Linked DNA regions of Macaca fascicularis. The protein of the gene in region 5 interacts with the protein of the main gene of each other region in a pairwise test. Links are inferred from orthologs where the notes say so. Each region holds a gene or a part of one and is shown on either strand. Other genes may lie near its edges.

The links.
Region 1: the proteins of CBY2 (region 5) and SYCE1 interact in binary tests that used the Homo sapiens proteins (3 or more experiments, as listed by UniProt). The two-hybrid records come from large-scale screens. The link is inferred for Macaca fascicularis from reciprocal best matches to the Homo sapiens genes CBY2 and SYCE1.
Region 2: the proteins of CBY2 (region 5) and C19H19orf44 interact in binary tests that used the Homo sapiens proteins (3 or more experiments, as listed by UniProt). The two-hybrid records come from large-scale screens. The link is inferred for Macaca fascicularis from reciprocal best matches to the Homo sapiens genes CBY2 and C19orf44.
Region 3: the proteins of CBY2 (region 5) and MMAB interact in binary tests that used the Homo sapiens proteins (3 or more experiments, as listed by UniProt). The two-hybrid records come from large-scale screens. The link is inferred for Macaca fascicularis from reciprocal best matches to the Homo sapiens genes CBY2 and MMAB.
Region 4: the proteins of CBY2 (region 5) and METTL17 interact in binary tests that used the Homo sapiens proteins (3 or more experiments, as listed by UniProt). The link is inferred for Macaca fascicularis from reciprocal best matches to the Homo sapiens genes CBY2 and METTL17.
Region 6: the proteins of CBY2 (region 5) and LMO1 interact in binary tests that used the Homo sapiens proteins (3 or more experiments, as listed by UniProt). The two-hybrid records come from large-scale screens. The link is inferred for Macaca fascicularis from reciprocal best matches to the Homo sapiens genes CBY2 and LMO1.

Annotation. Positions count from the first base shown.
Region 1 is NC_088383.1:142,658,560-142,662,059, forward strand, and holds part of SYCE1 (synaptonemal complex central element protein 1), read right to left. Parts: intron 1,099-3,500; coding exon 1,036-1,098; intron 305-1,035; coding exon 245-304; intron 1-244. UniProt on the Homo sapiens protein: Major component of the transverse central element of synaptonemal complexes (SCS), formed between homologous chromosomes during meiotic prophase. Requires SYCP1 in order to be incorporated into the central element.
Region 2 is NC_088393.1:16,844,507-16,847,792, reverse strand, and holds part of C19H19orf44 (uncharacterized protein C19orf44 homolog), read right to left. Parts: intron 1,297-3,286; coding exon 807-1,296; intron 1-806.
Region 3 is NC_088385.1:116,423,501-116,427,000, forward strand, and holds part of MMAB (corrinoid adenosyltransferase MMAB), read right to left. Parts: intron 2,740-3,500; coding exon 2,680-2,739; intron 735-2,679; coding exon 626-734; 3' UTR 1-625. UniProt on the Homo sapiens protein: Converts cob(I)alamin to adenosylcobalamin (adenosylcob(III)alamin), a coenzyme for methylmalonyl-CoA mutase, therefore participates in the final step of the vitamin B12 conversion.
Region 4 is NC_088381.1:88,661,572-88,663,776, reverse strand, and holds the end of METTL17 (ribosome assembly protein METTL17, mitochondrial), read right to left. Parts: intron 1,642-2,205; coding exon 1,591-1,641; intron 1,334-1,590; coding exon 1,241-1,333; intron 1,006-1,240; coding exon 821-1,005; intron 747-820; coding exon 641-746; 3' UTR 501-640; downstream 1-500. UniProt on the Homo sapiens protein: Mitochondrial ribosome (mitoribosome) assembly factor. Binds at the interface of the head and body domains of the mitochondrial small ribosomal subunit (mt-SSU), occluding the mRNA channel and preventing compaction of the head domain towards the body.
Region 5 is NC_088391.1:24,906,637-24,910,736, reverse strand, and holds the start of CBY2 (protein chibby homolog 2), read right to left. Parts: upstream 2,801-4,100; 5' UTR 2,730-2,800; coding exon 2,655-2,729; intron 2,356-2,654; coding exon 2,275-2,355; intron 1-2,274.
Region 6 is NC_088388.1:57,600,199-57,603,698, reverse strand, and holds part of LMO1 (rhombotin-1), read right to left. Parts: intron 2,298-3,500; coding exon 2,084-2,297; intron 1,654-2,083; exon of another isoform or gene 1,634-1,653; coding exon 1,538-1,633; intron 1-1,537. UniProt on the Homo sapiens protein: May be involved in gene regulation within neural lineage cells potentially by direct DNA binding or by binding to other transcription factors.

The DNA of each region.
Region 1 (3,500 bases), on a different chromosome or scaffold from region 5:
CAGTAGGAAACGAGGCTTCCAGAGTCCAGGCTCTCCTTGCCAGGCTCTGCTGATAGCAGGGCTAGGATCATGGGTATATTAACTATGGCAGTTGCATGCTGAAATGCCCTGTACTTAAGGCTCTGCTGCTGCTGTTGTGAATAACCAGTAACTTTGGAACAAGGGACCCTGCATTCTCATTTGGCACTGAGTCCCGCAAACCATGTAGCTGGTACTAGCTGGCAGCCAAGGCCCCTGAACTCACCTTGCTGGGCCTCATTAATCCGGTTAATCAGGACCTCAACTCGGGGCTCTAGGCTTCCCACTGCAGGGAGGAAAGGAGGTTGAGTTGACAGGGCAGGCAGAGGTGGGGTGCTTGCAGCCTTGTGTCTCTGCTGCTTTCACGCAACACAGATCTATTCAGTACCTACTGAAAGCAGGTGCTGTGTGGGGCCCTCACAGGGCTCATGTTCTGGGTGGGTGAGACTGGGAACAGACACAATAAGATACTGAGTGGGGCTGTGGTAACTGTGTTCAAGAGAAATAAAGTAGGGCAAGGGGGGTTAAAGCGCAAAGGAGTGGAAAGCGCTCCTCAGATATGGGAAGGTATCATGAGAGCCCCAAATCAGGTGGTGGGGGGCAGGCCCTGCAGCTCTTTGGGTTGGGGTGGGAGGTAGTCAGTGCAAAGACCCCCTCTGAGGTGGGAACATGGCTGGCAGGAGCCTAGTGAGCAAAGAGGGAGTAGGGGTTGAGGGGAAAGGAAGGGAAGTAAAGGTGGCAACTTCTGGATTTAATGGACTGCAGTGGAGCCAAATGGGTGACCAGCAAGAGGTTTGGGACAGGGTTTTGGGAAAACACTTTGCCTTCCTTACCCTTTTTCCTTCTTTAATTTTGAATCATGGGACCCGATTTTTAGTTTAAGTAATTAAGTTTTAAAAGAAAGAGAAGGTGAAGAGGATTATTTCCCAAGTTTATACATTGTGGGGCTGGAAATTGAACCCACATCTGCTTGGCCCCAAATCTCAGGCTGAGCCTCACACAAAGGAGACACATGACCTTTCTGCAGCTTTTTCACCATTTCCATCAAGTCTTCAATTTTCTGTGAGGATGTGTCCTGCCCTGTGGAGACAAAACCAAACATTTCAGAATCAAGCAGGGCGAGAGGCCAGAGGAAGGATCTGACAGCCCCTGGGCTGAGACTGAGGTAGACTGAGGGCAGGTCTCCAGCCAGAGTGGTAGCCCTGCTCCTTCTCCTAAGGTGAACAGTACACTAGATGAATCAGGCTCCTCCATGGTCAGCTTTTCCCTGCAGGGTAAAATTATACCAGGCAGCCCTTTGTAAAACTCTGGGTGAGGGCAGGGGTATACTCTCACTGCTGAGGCTGTTCAAAGTAAGGTCAAAGCTCCTGATATAATAATTTAAGAAAAAAAATGAAGGTATAAAAACCTGGAACAAGGAGTCAAAAATCACTGTAACTAGCAGATGACATAATCTAGGAAGTTCTTAAGAGAGTTTTCTATAAAACCATAAGGATTAGTAGCAAAATGCCTTAGGATGTTAGTTTAAAAACATATATAAATACAAATAGCTTTCCTATATACAACCAATACTAAACCTGAAATCTCCCCATAAAATATTTCATATTAATTTTTTATAATTATTGGAACCTATTTTTAACACTAAAATTAGTAGATCTAAGAAATTATTTATGGCATTAACATTGTGAAAGGAAAATAAATCTTTTTATAAATATTTGAAAATAAATCAATTCAAAGTTACCCTCTGCTGAGATAGATGCGTATCTGATTTTGTAAAATAAAAATCTGAAAATAAATGAATTCAAAGTCATCTCTCTGCTCACTCAGATAAATGCATATCTGATTGCCTCCTTTGGAAAGGCTAACCACAAACTCAAAATAATGCAACCATTTGTTTTTTATCTACCTATGATCTTGAAGTCAACCTCCCTGCTTCAAGTTGTCTCATCAATGCTTTGAGGTGACCCACCTTTCCAGATCGAACCAATGTTCATCTTACATATGTTGATTCATGTCTCATGTCTCCCTAAAAAGCATATAAACCAACCTGTGCTCTGACTACCTTGCCATCCTGGGCACATGTCATCAGGACCTCCTGAGGCTGTGTCGCAGGCATGCATCCCTAACTTTGGTAAAATAAACTTCCTAAATTGACTGAGACCTGTCTCAGATTTTGGGGTTTCACATTTTGGCAACCACAAAGGGATTCTGAGTAGAGGTGCTCCTGACCTTTGACAAACATTCTACCAGTGCCTGCTAGCAGCTTGGCTATCTTTGTGGCTCAAACTAATTTGACAAGTTGCTGAGGTCTGGAAGTCCCCTATCCAGGGAATCCCTCATTTCCCAAAATTCGTTCGAAGGCCAGAGTTTATTTTCTGAACAACTCTTCTCTTTTTCTGGAGTTTTACTTGCTTTCAACAAGGAAGGCAAGTTTTCCTGCTACCATGAAAACTCATTTCTGGAGTTTGAACTCGCTCCCAACAGGAAAGACAAGTTTGAGGGTTTTTTTTTCCTGCTTCTAAGATGATAGAGACAAGTCTTCAGCCTAAGACCCGTCCCTAGGTAAGTAACTGAATTGGGGTTTGTCTTGGCTAAAGGTAAGATTAACAACCAGCTGCTCTTAATTTTTCCTTACCATTACAGTGTTCAGTAATCATACAAGTTGTGTGATCATTTGTTTGTTACACTTAACCGTTATTTTTTTTGTTGTTTCTTTCTGTTTTTGCTGTTTTGGTCCTTTTCCCATTGGGTTTGGCCAATTCTATCTGACTTGATCAAATCCAAAGGAAAGTTCCAAATTATGTGGAACAAGGCCTCTGAAGTGGCTAAATTCCCATCAGAAAAGTGGTGGTGGGGGAAGAAAAAACGGCCAGTAAAAGTAAAAAAGGGGGAGAAGATTTTTGATTTTGACTACTTAAGTGGTTTCATTTACATAACAAGGCCATCTTTTTGCTAGCCAGGCCAAACTGAAAGAGAAATGATTGTCACCCACACTGCAGTTCCATAGCTGAGGTTCTGTCTTCTTTTTTTCCGTAACAGCCTGGGTTTGGTTCCTAAATCAAGACCTTTCTGGTTTGATACTTGGTACTTCTGAAATAGCAGCTATTCGTCCTAGCTGAAATATGTTGAAGAGATTTAGAAAAAAAATTTGAAAGAAACTCAAAAGCTTAAAAGTCAGCTTAATTAAAAGCTAACATCCAAGATATGTGTGTGTCTCTGTGTGTGTGTGTGTTTAAAAGGCTTTCATGATTTTTCTTTTTTCTCTCTCCTAGGTCCTTGTGTTTTTTGAGCAAAATTTTTTTTTTCTTCTCAGTTGACTGAAGGCTATTTTCTTCATTTAGTTCTGCTGTCTCTCCTTTCTCTTGCACCCTCTGCTGCATGAGGGACCTAAAACAGTTTATAATAGCATGAGGTTCCTTAAAGAAAATGGAGAAGGCATCAGACTCCCATTTGCGGAGAAAACTGCTTTTCCTTATGCATTC
Region 2 (3,286 bases), on a different chromosome or scaffold from region 5:
AGCACTCCAGCCTGGGCAACACAGCAAGACCCCATCTCTAAAAACAGAGTGAGAGAGAGACATGTCTGGAAAGTCACCCAGGGTGTTCATTCTCCAGGACAAAGGCATCCTGTGCACTGCAGGGTGTGGAATAGCACCCCTGGCCTCCGCCCAGCAGATGCCAATAGCATTCCCCACCCCGAGTTGTCACAACCAATAATGTCTCCAGACCCTGCTGGAGGCCCCCCATGACAGAATCATCCTGTGGGAGCTGCTACCCTAGTCCTTGGTTCTGATCCTTCTGAACGCTTCAGGGCTAGGAAGACATCGGGACACACCAGGGCAGCAGCCCCTCATCCGTGGAAGAGGAAATGGTGAGCCAAGGTCCCTGGGTGATTTTTTTTTTTTTTTTTTTGAGACAGAGTCTCATTCTATCACCCAGGCTGGAGTGCAGTGGCATCATCTCAGCTCAGTGCAACCTCTGCCTCCCGGGTTCTTCTCATGCCTCAGCTTCCTGAGTAGCTGGGATGACAGGAACACACCACGACAGCCAGCTCATTTTTGTATTTTTAGTAGAGATGGGGTTTCCCCATGTTGGCCAGACTGATCTTGAACTCCTGACCTCAGGTGATCCTCCTGCCTCGGCCTCCCAAAGTGCTGGGATTCCAGGTGTGAGCCACCTTGCCTGGCCAACCCCTCCAGGTGATTAATAACAAGAGTCCAGATCTCGGGAACCTGAGCTCTCCCACGTGTCTCCCAGGATGCTGTAAACCACACGCTGAGCTCCTGTCCGGGCTGCCCCGGCCCCCGCGGGCCCCAGTGCTTACCTTTGGTCCACTCGTAGGTGAAGGTGGGGTCCGGGGTCTGCACAGCTGTGTCCTTCACAAGCACCCTTGTCACGTGCCTGCCCGACTTTTTCCTAGCCTCGGCTGTTTGTGGAAAGTCTGTCTTCGCACTTGAAGAGGATTCAGACAGAGCGTCCAGTGTTCTGTCAAGAGACTCCTTGGAACGGGCCATTGGCTCAGATGCCGTCAGACTTGGAGAGTTTTCAAAATCCTCAGAATAAGCTGAGCTGACTGTGTTCACCATGGGGGCTTCAGATGGTGGCTGCATGCTGGAAATGCTGTCCTGCTGGATGGCAGAGGCCGAGCTGGCACTGAGATGCTCCGAGACCTCGCTCTCATCCCCCTCTGCAGAGGCGGCCTTTCCCTGTGATGCCCAGCTCCTCGCCTGGGCCTGCCTGGGGGCATCCGGCCCAGCAGACACCTCGGCTCTGAAGATTTTGCCAGCCGTTTTCTCTCTCTGAGCACTTTCCTCCTAAAATGAGGAATGGCAGAAGTGGCTGGGAAGCGAGTTTTTTTTTTTTTTTTTTTGAGACGGAGTCTCACTGTGTCCCCCAGGCTGGAGTGCAGTGGCGCGATCTCGGCTCACTGCAAGCTCCGCCTCCTGAATTCATGCCATTCTCCTGCCTCAGCCTCTCCAGTAGCTGGGACTACAGGTGCCTACCACCACGCCCGGCTAGTTTTTTGTATTTTTAGTAGAGACGGGGTTTCACCATGTTAGCCAGGATGGTCTCGATCTCCTGACCTTGTGATCTGCCCGCCTCAGCCTCCCAAAATGCTGGGATTACAGGTGTGAGCCACTGCGCCCAGCTAGAAGTGTTTTGGAAAGATCAACATGCTAGGAACACCGTACTCCTAGGAGCTGGGGACCTCCGGCACTCCCGCAGGCAAGGGGGACATACCAGCTCCTCATCAGGTGTGGGCATGGAGTATTCTAAACAGAACTGTGGCGTCTTCAGCACGGGATGCCTATGGGGCTGGGAAGCCTGATGGGGTGACGCATGCTTAGGTGGCACATGGATGGCATTTAACATTTCATCATGGACTTAAGGACTTTAGGTGGCTGAGGCGGTAGGATCCTTTGAGCTCAGGAGTTCAAGACCTGCCTGGGCAACATAGGAAGACCCTATCTCTATAAGAAAAAAAAATAAAAATTAAAAAATTAAGTTTCGGCCAGGCACAGTGGCTCATGCCTGTAATCCCAGCACTTTGGGAGGCCAAGGCGGGCAGATCACCTGAGGTCGGGAGTTTGAAACCAGCCTGACCAACATGGAGAAACCCCATCTCTACCAAAAATACAAAATGAGCCAGGCGTGGTGGCACATGTCTGTAATCCCAGCTACTCGGGAGGCTGAGGCAGAAGAATCACTTGAACCCAGGAGGCAGAGGTTGTGGTGAGCCGAGATCACGCCATTGCACTCCAGCCTGGGCAACAAGAGTGAAACTCCAGCTCAAAAAAAAAAAACATTTCATCATAGACCGATGAAATGTTAGGTGGCTGAGGCAGTAGGATCCTTTGAGCTCAGGAGTTCAAGACCTGCCTGTGCAACATAGCAAGACTCTATCTCTATAAGAAAAAAAATAGGCCGGGTGCGGTGGCTCAAGCCTGTAATCCCAGCACTTTGGGAGGCCGAGACGGGCGGATCATGAGGTCAGAAGATCGAGACCATCCTGGCTAACACGGTGAAACCCCATCTCTACTAAAAAATACAAAAAACTAGCCGGGCGCAGTGGCGGGCACCTGTAGTCCCAGCTACTCAGGAGGCTGAGGCAGGAGAATGGCGTAACCCCAGGAGGCGGAGTTTGCAGTGAGCTGAGATCCGGCCACTGCACTCCAGCCTGGGTGACAGAGCGAGACTCCGTCTCAAAAAAAATAAATAAATAAATAAATAAAAATAATTAGGCTGGGCGCGGTGGCTCATGCCTGTAATCCCAGCACTTTGGGAGGCCGAGGCGGGCAGATCACGAGGTCAGGAGATCGAGACCATCCTGGCTAACACAGTGAAACCCCGTCTCTACTAAAAATACAAAAAATCAGCCGGGCGCGGTGGCAGGCGCCTGCAGTCCAAGCTACACGGGAGGCTGAGGCAGGAGAATGGCGTGAACCCGGGAGGCGGAGCTTGCAGTGAGATCGCGCCACTGTATTCCAGCCTGGGCGACAAAGCGAGACACCATCTCAAAAAAAAAAAAAGAAAAGAAAAAAATAATTTAAAAATTAAGTTTCATCATGCCTGGGGGCAATGGCTTACACTTGCAATCTCAGCACTTTGAAAGGCTGAGGCAGGAGGAATGCTTGAAGCTAGGAGTTCAAGACCAGCCTGGACAACCTAGCCGGTCTCTATCTCTACAAAAAATAAAAAATTAGCCAGGCATGGGTGCATGCCTGTAGTCTCAGCTACTCAGAAGGCTGGGTAGGAGGACTGCTTGAGCCTAGGACATTGAGGATGAAGTGAGCCATGATCCCC
Region 3 (3,500 bases), on a different chromosome or scaffold from region 5:
GCCCCTTTGGCACAGGTAAATCACAATTACATTTTCAAGGGCCTCTGGTCCCATTCCAAATCTCTGAACAATCTGAGCTGGCAGTGGGAGGACACAGACACACACACACACACACACACACACACACACACACACACACACACTCCAAATCTCTGAACAATCTGAGCTGGCAGTGGGAGGACACACACACACACACACACACACACACACACACAGCTCCAGCCTTTCTCACTTTTATTCTTTTTCCACACACACACACACACACACACACACACACACACACACACACACAGCTCCAGCCTTTCTCACTTTTATTCTTTTTCCGCACAGCTCCTTCTCATTGCAGCAATCACTTTACCTGTCTTTCCTGCAATGCCAATTCATTCCCACATCCCTCCAAGACCCAGGAGAGCTTGGGGAAGCAGGGTCAGGGACAGAATCCCCAAAGGGCCACAGTCCCTTGAGGAAGGTGGCAGGAGGTGTGGAGCAAAGCAGAGCTGGGACGAAAGGCTGCTTTCAGTCTCTCTGGGTGAGCTCTTCAGGAACCAGGACCCCGGAAGGGCAAGCTCCTCTCTCCATGACCATTGCCACGGGGGGATCCTCCAAGCTCCCACTTTCTGTGATTTCAGCGTGCCTCAGACTCGGCTGATGGGTCATTTTTCTTGTATATTTTCTCTTGATTCCCCTCCTTCATGGCTGCATATCTGGCTAGTGTGAAGAGATAGTCACTGAGTCTGGAGGGGCAGAGAGAGAGAAGCAAACAGAGTGGTTTGAAATGAGAGATCAATGCTAACTGGGTCTTCCCATATCTGCCTACAAGGAGGAGATATAAATGACGCGCTCTGGGCACACCGTGCAGGGAGGGCGGGGGCCCACCACCTTGCACTTGATGGATGGCATGCGAGGCCAGCTGCTGTGAATGCCAAGGACTCTACTCCAGTGTCAAGGCTGGGGCCATTCCTGCAGGATGAGGCTATTGCCCCAGCCCTACCCCATGGGGCAGATGACTTTGGACTCCTCTCTGAGCTGGTTTCTGCACTTTTGAGTGATCAGGGCTCATGTGCGTGATCAGTTTGGGTGTTTCCCAAACTACAGTGTGCACAGGCATCACCGGGGGATCTAAGCAACGTGCAGATTCTGATTCGGGAGGGCTGGGCCAGGCCCGGGACTCTGTAGGTCTAGTTCCCATCCTGGGTGATGGTGACACTGCTGGACTAGGCCCTACTGACATTCTGGATCATTCTCTGTGTTCGGGGCTGTCCTGTGCATCCTGTGCAATGTAGGATGCTGACAGCACCTTTGGTCCCCACCCGCCAGATGCCAGTGGCACCCCTGAACCCAGTGTGACAACCGGTAATGCCTCCAAACATTGCCAAAGGTACCAGGTGAGCAGCACAGGCTGGGGCACTCTAGAGACCAGAGCCCAGTCCCTTTCCCGCCTCCTCCTTTGAGCCAACAGCAGTGGGCCATCTGTGCATGAGGCCTTCTGCAGGGGCAGCAATGGAGGGAACTAGAGGACAACGCCATGGGCCCCACAAGGCACTTACGCTGTCAGCTCTTCTGCCTCCTGCTGTCCGCATCTTTTGCTGTGTCATTCCCAGCACTGGGCACCACGTTCCTCCCTCTCTCTCTGCTCCAGTCTTGCCCTCAGAGGCCAGCTCCACACCACGTCCTCCTGAGCCCTCCCCTGACTCAAGCGCCCTGAGCCCCACAGCTGGCTCTCAGGGACAGCGAAGGGGAGGTGGTTCGGGGTATTTTACCTCTGGGCTGCGTGCTCCTGGAGGGCAGCAGCGTACCTGTTGCTTGTTGGCTCTGTGAAGCCTCACTGAAGAGATGAAATGGCCTGTCCCGTGCAATGCTATGGGACCGCAAGGGTCCCCCCAGGGTTGCTGCTTTGAAGGTGAAATGGACCTGCTCCTCACTCCCGGTGAAACCCCACTCCCAGAAGGAAAGGAGCTGCTCAGGACCTGTCGAAGCCAGGCCATGTCCGTGGGAGGAGTGGCCAGTCAGGGGCCTGAGGTCACTTTCTAGACACCCAGGACAGCTCCTGGGGTGCAGACCCACTCCCCCAGCTCTCTACCTGCCCCCAGGCTCTGGCCTTGCTCACACTGGTGCCACAGGAGCCAGGGCTGGGGCAGGAACCAGCAGAGCAGGCGTTGGGCCAGGTGTGGCTCCAGCCTCATGGGCCGGCAGCAAGGCAGAGGAAGCCCTCCCTGGGCTAGCCTGGCTCACTGGGGCCTGCACGGGGGGCCCCTGAGCTCAGCTTGGCCCGGCTCTCTTTTGTTGGTTCACACTGCCCCAGGCCCTCTCGGGGAGAGGAAACTGGCTGAGAGAGGGCCTGAAGCCTGGCTCCCTGGTCGGCCACCACCGAGAGGCCTTCCCTGAGCACCCAGCCTCTAAGAACGCCCTTCGCTCCCGCAAGGCCACTTTGTACATAAGTTTTTCTTCCTGGTTTTTACAGCAGCCTCTCCCAATAAGATCTGAATCTTCTCGGGACAGGCACAGTGTCCACCTTGTTCGCCACTGCCTCTCCTGTGCCTGCCGTGGTGCCTGGCACAGAGCAGATGTTCATAAACACTAAGGGAATGGAGGAGGGGGTGTGGGAACACTGCACCACTGCTACTTCCCACAGACGAGCCTCGGCTTTCAGAGAGGGACCCCCAGGTTCCACGCGAGTACCTGTTTAAGAACTTGGCCACGTTCGCATCGGTCTCTCCCATCTGGACAAGAGGCACCACGCTAGAAAGGGAGGAGACACTGAGTCATGTGACATTATGGGGCTTAACAGGCTCTGACCTGGGGCCTAAACCTTGAGCAGCATTTCACATCCCACTACCGCTCAACCTGAGCCTGCACAAGCTCGGCCAGCACTGGAGATGACAAATCCGTCACAGGTGGGTTTAAACAGGCCATCAGCCCCCTTTCCACGGGCACATCGCAGGAGGGCCTGGTCAAGGAGGACTAGAGCACAGCTGGGGAGTTGAGGGAGCCGCCTGGCCTACACCACACCCCGGCCAGTCAGCCAGCTTTTGTACCATTAGACCTGAGTCTGGGTGGGGTGAAGTTGGGGTGGTCAGCCTCCAGCCTTCAAAGGAAGTGGGGGCCTGACCCTTAATTCCCAATGGGCTAAACTCTAAGCCCCTTGTACATCATGCTTGTACATCATGACTTAGAACAACTTCACAGGGGAGAAAAAGACCCAGGCAGACCAAGCTCCTGATTCCACAGGATTCTGGATTCCTAGGGTCCATGCCCGTCTATGTGCAGATACATTAGACACTGGACAGCCATCTGCTGGGCACCAGTGTGGTGGCGGGCCCTTGCTGAGCCTTTCCCAGGTATCACCCTGTGGCATACACTTTGTTGGCAGGCCAGCCACCTAAAGCCCAGCCTCAGGGTTCTCATCCCCACCCAAAGCCATGCACCTGGCTAGCGGCCCAGCAGGGTGTGCGTCCAGGCCTGTCAGAGTTCCAGGCTGTCTCTAATGGGCACCGCACGCT
Region 4 (2,205 bases), on a different chromosome or scaffold from region 5:
AGCCTTCATACTCAGGCACCAGGTTCCCCCAATTCATTATACATTTTTCTTGCTTCTGCTTTTATGTTTAACTTGTACATTCATCATTATAGCAAAGGGCTTATAGAAATCTGGTTTTTCTACTTCTGCTTTAATGATCAGCTTACACATTCATCATTACAGCGAAGAGCTTATGGAGATCTGAACTGCCACAATAGGAGAAGGCGAGCTTGAGATTTGTGTGGGAAGCTTGGCATCAAAAATCTGAGGAAGCTCTTCATTACAGGATAGACCAGGATAATTAACTATACCTTTTACTTTTTTTTTTTTTTTTTTTAAAGAGAGGAGATCTTGCTCTGTCACCTAGGCTGGAGTGCAGTGGTACAATCACAGCTCACTGCAGCCTTAACACCTGGGCTCAAATGATCCTCTTGCCTCAGCTTCCTGAGTGACTGGAAATGCAGGCACATGCCACTGTGCCCAGCTTCTACACTTTTTAAGAATCACAAAATCCACTTCCATTCTTTAAAAATTTATTATTTATTATTAAAAATCTCAAACAAACACAGACATATGGGGATACCAGCAGTCCCCTCCTGGATACCAGGTAGTGTCAGCCCTGGCAGGCATGATAGAAGAAAATACTTGTTAGACATCCTTGTCAACTCTCAGAGGGATCTTGAGCAGTGGATGGAGGAAACGCAGACGGAGTAAGCACAGGTAAAAGATCTCCCCAGGAGCTGACACGGGCACAACGATACAAATCCCTATGGAAATGAGACGTTAATGTGGGCTGCAGGTTCTTGCCACATCCCACTAATTTTGGTCACACCCCCTATACCTGCCATGCCGGCGGGCTGTGATCACAGCATGCTGCATATGCCCATCTGGACAGCACAAGTGACAATGCACATGGCGAGGTCGTCTAAGGACAGGCTGAGTGATACGGGGCCAGCGATTAGCCTCCTCTGGAGACCCCCGAGCAAGGATCACCATAGAGAACTTTTCTTCCTTTGGTTTCTTGTTCTAAGATAAGGAACATAGAGACTGTTTAGAAGAAAAACATATGGGAAAAAAGTTTGTCAAGCCCCTTCTTCCCCATTCCTGCAGTCCTTTTTTACAATGTGTAAATCATATACATGTAGGCCCTAAAGTCTCTAGGCTATTCTGTGAATTATCCAATGCCTCCTAACTCTGACTCTTTTTCTTCCTGTTTTTTCCAAGATGTTTGCTTCCTGCTGCAATATCCCCAGGTACCTACCCAGCGGAAGGGGATGGGATGGTACGCCTGTGAGAAGCTACACGCCAGTGGCCTAGAGGTTGTCAACTGGGGACAAGGGAGTTCATGGGGACACTGTGAACACATAAAAAAGTGAGGTAAGACAAAAGAGCCATCAATCACAAAACTTAAAAACTAAGAATAATAGAGTCAAAAGGGGCCAGGGAGAATGGAGGACAGGAACAGTGGGTAGGAAGAGCCAGGAGAATCATTAGGTAGGAACTGGATAGGAACACAAAGTAGTGGAGAGTGGCTTAGCTTTACCATCTTACTTTTTCTGGCCACACCTGAGTTCAGATCTGTGTGGTGGGACAGGTAGAAGTAATACTTACCGGGGCAAAGACAAAACTAGGTCGAGGGTCCAAAGGTGACTTCTCTTTTCCCTGAAATCAAAGGAAATAAAAGAAATAAAGCTGGGCCAGGTGTCTATTTTCATAACTCAATCTCTGCAGTCAGTAAACTGAGGACTCCTTTAACATTCAATTCTAATAACGATTAACTACGTCCTTTGAGTTAAGCTGGCTGCATCTTTAATACTCCAAACAAAGAACTTTCTCTTTGCTGCAGGAGAAAGGCAAGAACTTGGCACAAAGTACAGTGCTCTCCCTTGTCAGCAACCTCCACTCTCAAAAAAATCCCACTCCAGGACAATGAAATTTATGATTATACACTGGCTCATACTCTCCCCCAGTGACAAGGTTCTCAGCTCAGCAATGCCCTAGATTAGGAGTCCGCAAACTTTCTTTTAAAAGGCCAGACAGTAGGCAAAATCTATCTCTGTCCCAACTACTCAACTCTGCTGTTTGTAGTGTGAAAGCAGTCACAGACAACAGAGGCACAAATAAGCATGGCTTATATAAAAACAGGTGGCAGGTCGGATTTGATCCACAGGCTCTCATTTGCCAACCACTGCTCTGATTCATAATGACTTTATATGCCCAGTTTCC
Region 5 (4,100 bases):
GGAAGAAAAACGGGAAATCAATGCGTCCTGAAAAGACCTAAGGGTGATAACAAGTAGTGATCACAGGCATTTGCAATGTAATTGAGAAGCCTAAACACACAGCAGGACTGGGAGCTGGGAAGCAGAGGCACTTTCTAGAGACAGAGCTGCTGCCACAAGTCCTTTCTGAAACAAATGGAAAGTGGATTCCATCCCAGAATAGAGTAGCTTTTGGCAAATACAAAATAAGAAGCCCAGAGATGAGCGGTTAAGATGCGGGGAGAAGACTCCATCTCCAAAGAGCAAAAGAAGAACCACAGAGCTAAGATGCAGCGTGGCCCAGCTTAGTGGCATGTGCCCTGGTATAGCGGAGAACATGGGCACTGATTGGAGTTCAAGCCCCTTCCTCCATCTCTGCCATTACTAGTGGGGTTCCTGGGGTTGCCAGTTCCTGTACCTGTAAAATCTCTACCTCACACTTACTTGGCACCGTGCTCAACACATGATCGCACTAACATTCAGTCGATATTTCTTCCTCTCCTTGCTTCCCAGATCAACCCTGTCCCCTAAGCCATGCACCATCTCATCTAGGGAGGCCGAGTGAGCACATTGGTCCCTCTCGCAGCCCTGGTGGTATTTTGGTTCAGATTATCTACTTGTAGACACCCACACCCGTCCCCAGAGTGCCAGTCTTGAGCATCCTGACAGGTGTCCAAAACCTGGTGCATGGCTTGTGCCCTCTTGGCAGGTGTATACACCTTCCCGTGAGAGGTACACATGCCCAGACAGGAGATATCCTCTCATTCTTCACCCACTCTGCCCCCACAGGACCCCAGCAGCAGCACCAGGTCCTCCAGAACAGTAATCAGGCAGCCCCAAGACAAGCTTGAGCTGTCTTAAACCACATTCTCTTCTCTTTGATTGCTGGGCTGTTTCTGGGAGCTGGGGAGGGAAAGTTACGGTAGGTGTTGATGGAAACATCATTCCAATTTCTCTATCACATGACCACTACTCTTTCAAATCCTATCCCCTCCTTCACACCCACCTCTAGGTTGGCATCCTCTGCCTGACCAAGTTTCTTAAACACCAACTTTGCCAACATTACTGAGGGTTACTATCAGAGAACGTTCAGCCATCTGAGGTACTTTCAAAGCATGTAAAGTTGAGAGGCCCCAGGATTCTGGAAGAAAAGATTGGTTTATATGGGCCATGAGGCATCACAGCAGTAACACCCACTCTTGGGGAAGCAGTGGCCAACACAACTCCCTGCATATTTCAGGTGGAAAGAATCAGGCCCAAAAAGATTCCTACAGCTTGTTATCCTGTCGAATGATCAGGGGGAAGTTATCTTATATTCTAGCTAAGATTCAAGTCATAGAAAAGTGACTGTTCATTACAAAGTTATAAAGATAATGTGAAAATAAACATCCAGGATGTTTTCTTCTTCCATATGTTTGCCTCCCACTGAACATACTTGCCTAGATTGTTACAATTATATCTGGAATGCTCACCAGTGGTCAATCCTCCTCCTACACATCCCTGGACAGAGCTCTCAGATAGTTACCTCTGCTTTGGATTCCTCCATCCTACATTTCAACCCCTCTGGTTGCATGGCCCTGGTCTTCCAATGAGGCCTTAGGTGACTCTGGAGAAAGCAAAGCCACCCCTTTGTGACATAGCATCAGTAGACACAATTCAATCAAGAAGACTCCACTAAGGAAAGAGCTGATTTCAGGCAGGAGGAGACCTGAGAATCTCTAGCCTGTGAGGACTTCACCAATTCATTGACCACAAAAGCATCTATGCCCATGGCCCCTACATCTGTCTTTGGTGCATAGCAGGGCTTAATTCTCTTGACAACTCCAAATAACTCTGTACCCCTCTGTCCATGAAGGAGGTTTTCTTCTCATGGATTCATTCTTATGCATTTGATTCCAAGTCCCAGTTCTAATTCTCCTCTAGAAATCCAAAGTGAATGCACAACACTAAGCACCAAAAGGTCTCGTTTTGAGAAGGTTGGGTTACTTCAGAGTATCATAGAAACTTGGAATGTTAGGACTGGAAGTTCTTACCAAACCATCTGACCCAACCACCTCATTCGTGGGAAAAAGAACCCAAGGCCCACAGGGGCTATGTGGCCTTCCCCAGCACGCTGCCTGCTGGCAGCCAACCCAAACTAGAACCTGAAGCCCTATCTCTGCTTATTCTACAACATCTTGCTAGAGTTTTGAAGGAGGAGGTAGGGGGTTATTCTGGCTAACACCGATAGGTTACATCCTCTGTGATTATCCCTACCTGAGGTAGAACCACATTGATTGGAATTTCTAGGCTTTCAGATCTGGTATCTCTTTTTCTTGTAAAATTTGGCCTTGAGTGCTGTGGAAAAGAGAAAAGAAGAAGATTGCTGCTTCCCAACTCATCCTCTGGGCCTCAATTGCTCACCTAAAAAACATAGAACTTTCTCCTCATTTATTTCCCTCTTGTCAGTTATGTACAATTATGAAAGTCTGGAAGAATGTGTAGACGATATCTGGCAAGACGGTTTATCAATCTCTGAACAGATATTAAGCTAGATATTATAGTTGATGTAAAAGACTTTTGAAAGTCTTTGACGCGGAGATAACTGTACCTGCTTGCCTAAGATGATTATTTCTATCTCAAGTAAAAAGCCATACCAATGTGAGTTGCCAGGTATAGGTCCTATGCAGAAGTTGGTCACCAAAACACTCAGAACATTCCAGAGGTGACATCACAAAACAATAGGGTGTTTTTCAGGGCTCATGGTTTCTGTCTGAGCATCACAGGTGGGAATGAGGCATCTGACAGGCAGGAAGAACCTGTGGGGGCTGTGACTACTTGGCCGGTCAGGGTCAGTGTGACACACAATAGCTCAAACATTAGCCCCCTGTTGGGTCATCCCAGCTGCCATTTGTATTCTCACTGCCAGGCTAAGTTGAGACCCCTAGTTTCTCTCCAGAAGTGGCGTCTTCTTGGAGTTCGGTCACTCAAGAAGAAGGAAACACAACTGAACTCTTCCCACACCAAGCGAGAAAGTATAGTCTGAGGTGTTTTCTGACACTACTCAATTCCTTAATTCTCTGACATCAACTGTGTGCCCTACAATTCCATTTCATTCTGATGCTATCTACCTGGAGTTAGTGTGATAGAGCTGAAGGGGCTTACTGCCCAATGCAATAGAAGCCAATACTAAAACACTACGTTCTTTAAAAAAGAAAAACTTGTATATTCAAAGTCAACTCCCAAGGAGACAAGAGTCAAACTCAAACCGGTCTCTCGGTGCTGACATTAAGGCAGTATTTTTATTAGAAAAGTTTCCGGGGGTAGATTCCGAGATTAGTAGGTGATTGGTAGATGGAAATGGGAGATATGGAAAGTCCCAAAGAGTAAGAAATCAGTAACTAACAGAAATTTTTGAGTTTCGGGATAGCAGATAAGAAAAGAAATTTAAGCTGCTGAAACTCCCTCCACTTGTGAGATCTAGAAAAACCTGGCGGAAATTGGTTGGAACCAAAATGGCTGACTGGAGCTTGCACACAATAAGCTTGCTGATGTCGTAGCCTGAATTTCCACCACATGTTTTGTACTAATTCCCCCTGAATTTGCACATGCAACTCAGGAGTTAACATGAAGAAATAACTGTGCATGCCCAAGGACTTTCCAGACCTCCCTTTTCCTTGTACCAATCACCTGCTAATCTCAGAATCCACCCCCTGAACCTTTTCCAATAAAAATACTGCTTTAATGCCAGCACAGAGAGACAAATTTGAGCTTGACTCCTGCCTCCTTCAGAGGTGACTTTTAATATAAAGCTTTTCTTTTTTTCAAAAACTTGGTGTCAGTATTGGCTTCTAGCATATTGGGCAGTGAGCCCCTTTTGCTTGATAACAAACTAGAACCCCAGGTGAGACGAACAGCCTGTTCAAGGTACTGTTGCCCCTAGTGGTGTGCAGGCCCCCTGCACTGATCCTGAGTAGCCACCTAGACCAGTGCGTTCAGAGGCTCAACTATAGGGTTCCTGCTTCTCTACCATGGCACTTCAGGTTCCCTTGGCACTTTTCCTTTGGGAAAAGAAATTGCTTCTGGATTAGACATCTTTCTGG
Region 6 (3,500 bases), on a different chromosome or scaffold from region 5:
CCATGCAAGCCAGCCCTCGGCTGGATGTCCCAAAGGTCTGAGCCATCCCAGCTCCTCCTTGCTTCTTTCCTACACACAGACAGAGCAAGCCCCAAGTGAGGCAAGGAGGCTGAGAAGAGGGGGGCCCCTCTAATCCCCAATTTGTCCAGCTCAAGCTGAGGCGCCTGCAGATGAGCTTGGCTCCATTATTCATCAGCTTGAGCTGCCTGGTGGCTCAGATTAAGGCAGACAAAGGCTGGGCCACAGCATCTGCCTGCCAAGAGGGGCTTTTCTTGCCATCAGCCCAGGAACAGTTGCTGCAGAGGGCGCAGGCTCTGGACAGCCATTCTCCCAGCCTGAGCAGCTCAAGGAAGCCACGCTCCCATCCCAGCCCACTGGTCTAGCTGGTCCTACAGTCATTCCTTGCCTCTGCCAGAGGAAAAAAAAAATTACCTTCCATCCCTAGTAGCTGGCAGGGCCCTGTATGCTTGTGGGTGCTTTTTCCTGATAAGCCCATTCTGCACTGTGGGCCTCTCTCTCCAAGTCAAGTGGCCCATCAGCTGGTCTGCCATGTTGTCCTAACCCGGTAGGCTCAGCCCCCAGGTGATGCCCTAAACCTCCAGACATGGAGGCCCCTTCTAGGTCCTCAAGGGGTGAATCCCCAGGAACATTCTTTTCTTTTTTGAGACAGGGTCAGCAAGAGCTGTCACCTAAGCTGGAGTGCAGCGGCGCGATCACAGCTCACTGCAGCCTCAAACTCCTGGGCTCAAGCAATCCTTCCACTTCAGCCTCCTGAGTAGCTGGGACGACAGGCGTGCAGCCACTACACCTGGCTCTTTTTTTTTTGTTTTTTTGTTTTTTTGTTTTTGTTTTTTTGTAGAAACAGGGTTTTACCATGTTGTCCAGGGTTGGTCTCGAACTCCTGAACTGGAGCGATCTGCCTGCCTTGGCCTCCCAAAGTGCTGGAATTATAGGCATGAGCCACCATGCCTAGTCTGAACATTCTTCCTTAACCCCTGCTCCTGGCCTCAGCCTCTCCCCTCCAGCCCTGGCAAGGAGCATTGAGTCACAGATTCTGTTTTACTACATCACTTTTAAATGCAGGTGTTAAGAGAGAAGGTACAGGCAGGTCAGTCAAAGAATCTTTGGGGAAGTGGGGGAGCTTCCACTGATAACCTCGCCCTTGCAACATGCCCAGACCTAGGCAGAGGGAACCCCATGAAGCCTTTGCCCTGACCTGTTAATGAATGCGATGAGCCCTCCTTCCCCACAAGCCCAGCCGCCATCCAGCAGCCTGCGACAGAGCCAAATGCAGGTGTTGGGTCGCAGCCAAGGCCCTGCTTTGTGGCCTCCTTCCAGCCTTGCTGATGTCGTAAATGGCCTCAGGGAGGGTTAACTGGGGGAGGCAGCCCCAGGGAATAGGATCCAGGTTGTAGGGAGGGTGAGTTAGAGCTCAGAGGAATGCAAGGCAGGGAAGCATTGTTCTTTCACCCTTCACGGGGAAATAAACTGAGGCTAGGAGAAGATTAGGAGCCACAGGCTCAGAGCTAGTTCCAACCCAGGTCTTGAAGCTCCAGCATCAGTGGCCCTGCTCCTAGGATATGGCTGCCTGCCAGTTTCCCTGGGCAAATGGACGCCGGCTCCCAAGGACCACCTGGAAAGGAAAGTTGGGCACTGGGAGAGGGAAGAAGACTGCATTAGGGAGGAGGGGCCCGGGGAAGTCAAAGCTTCCACACCTGTTCTCAAAGCCCCTCTGAAGTATCCCCTCCCAGATTCCAGATCAGGTGGGTCAGAAGCACCTGGCCAAGGCAGGGGGTGAGGGGTGGTGGGGGGGAGCAAAGCTGGGGCCCTCGGAAAGCTTAACTTAGGAGCCCCAGGTTACAAATGCCTGCCCTGAACCTGTGCTGAGCACTGAGTCCAAGGGCATAAAGACCTGGGCCTTCCCTCAGGTATCTGGGGCAAGCAGGGCAGGGGCAGGACAGTCAAGAATGGGGGGGCACACAGGGTACTGGGTCTAGGGCCGGGGCACAGTAACACTAGGGCTGAGGATGGGGGGCTTTCTGAGCAGGACAAGGGCTTGCGAGGCCAGGGGTCGGCAGCCCACCTCAGGTAGTCGCGTCGGCACAGGATGAGGTTGGCCTTGGTGTAGAGGGTGGAGCCCACCTCGCCCAGGCGACAGTCACAGCAGGCACACTTGAGGCAGTCTTCGTGCCAGTACTTGTCCAATGCCTTCAGCAGATAGCGGTCCTTGATCTTGCGGTTACAGCCCGCGCAACCCTTCTGCTTCCCTTTGGGCTGAACGGAGAGCATCGGCACGCCTGCAGACGGACAGACAGACAGGAACGCAGGATGGGCCCCGTAGCTCTGGGCCTCAAGGAATATCCCCCAAGAATGGGGAGCTCACTGCTTCTCTCTGCTGCCCCCTCTAGGTTTGGGGCTCCCAGGAGCCCTCGCTTTCTCCCCAGTAACCTCTTTCCCTGGCTCTGGGTCCTGCCCTTTGGGCTGCGTGGCACAGCCTGTTTCCCTGGTCCTGTGAAGGTCCCTCCAGAGGCTGCTCTGCTCCAAGGCATGCACAGACCCCAGGCCTAGCCTCCCTGAGCTGTTCTTCCCCACCCTGGCCTCTGGCCCCTGTGCGGTCTCACCCGGAGAAGCCTGAAGCTCGCCATGTGAAGCCACCATCGCATTGGCTCTTTCAGCAATAAGCCTAAGAAATGTAGTCTCCTCAGGCCCAGGAGATCCTCTAGAACCCCCAGATCTTTTTGCCGACTCATGTTTCTCCAGCTGAAATGCTACAGCCTCTTGGTCTATCCATGTAGAGCTGTGAAGGCATCAAGAAGGAAGTGAGACACTCTTGGGACACTCCCAGGAGGGAGCGGAGGCTCTGGGGCTCCTGGCAGGTAAGAGGGGGCAGCTGGCAGGGCCTGGCTGGGGCTCTCCTTGGGAATGCTTCATACCTCACCTGCCCTGGCCTGGGGGAGGGCAGGCTCTGAGCCTCTGGATCCTTCGTCATTCTGCCAGGATTAGGATCTCTCAGCCATCCGCACCTCCCAGCACCCATACTGGCTTCCCAACATACACACAGGCACCAAGTACAAAGGGCCCAACATGATGTTCACCACAGAGCAGAGCCTCCCATCGCAGCAGGTGAGCATGTGTGCTCACGCACACCCCTCACACACAGGCACGATGTGCAGGTGTGGGCATGAAGTGACAGAGGCATGGATTCCTATTCCCTTCTCCTGGGACCACAGGGACAGTTGAGGAGGAGATGGGGACAGATGTCGTCCAGTAGCCTGGACATCCATGTGGACCTGTGAGGCTGGGAGGGAAGTGGAGAGGACCTCAGAAGCCCTGCTCTGTGACTTTACAGGCCTGTGGGAGTTGCCTGAGAATCCTTGTGAAGACAGGGAGGGTGTGCATGCTCTGTTCCTGACCAAGGTGCAGGCTGGATAAGGGCCCAGCCCTCCTCACCTCCCCGGCTTTCCAACACTCCCCTGGAGTCAGTCCTCCTACTGGCCCTG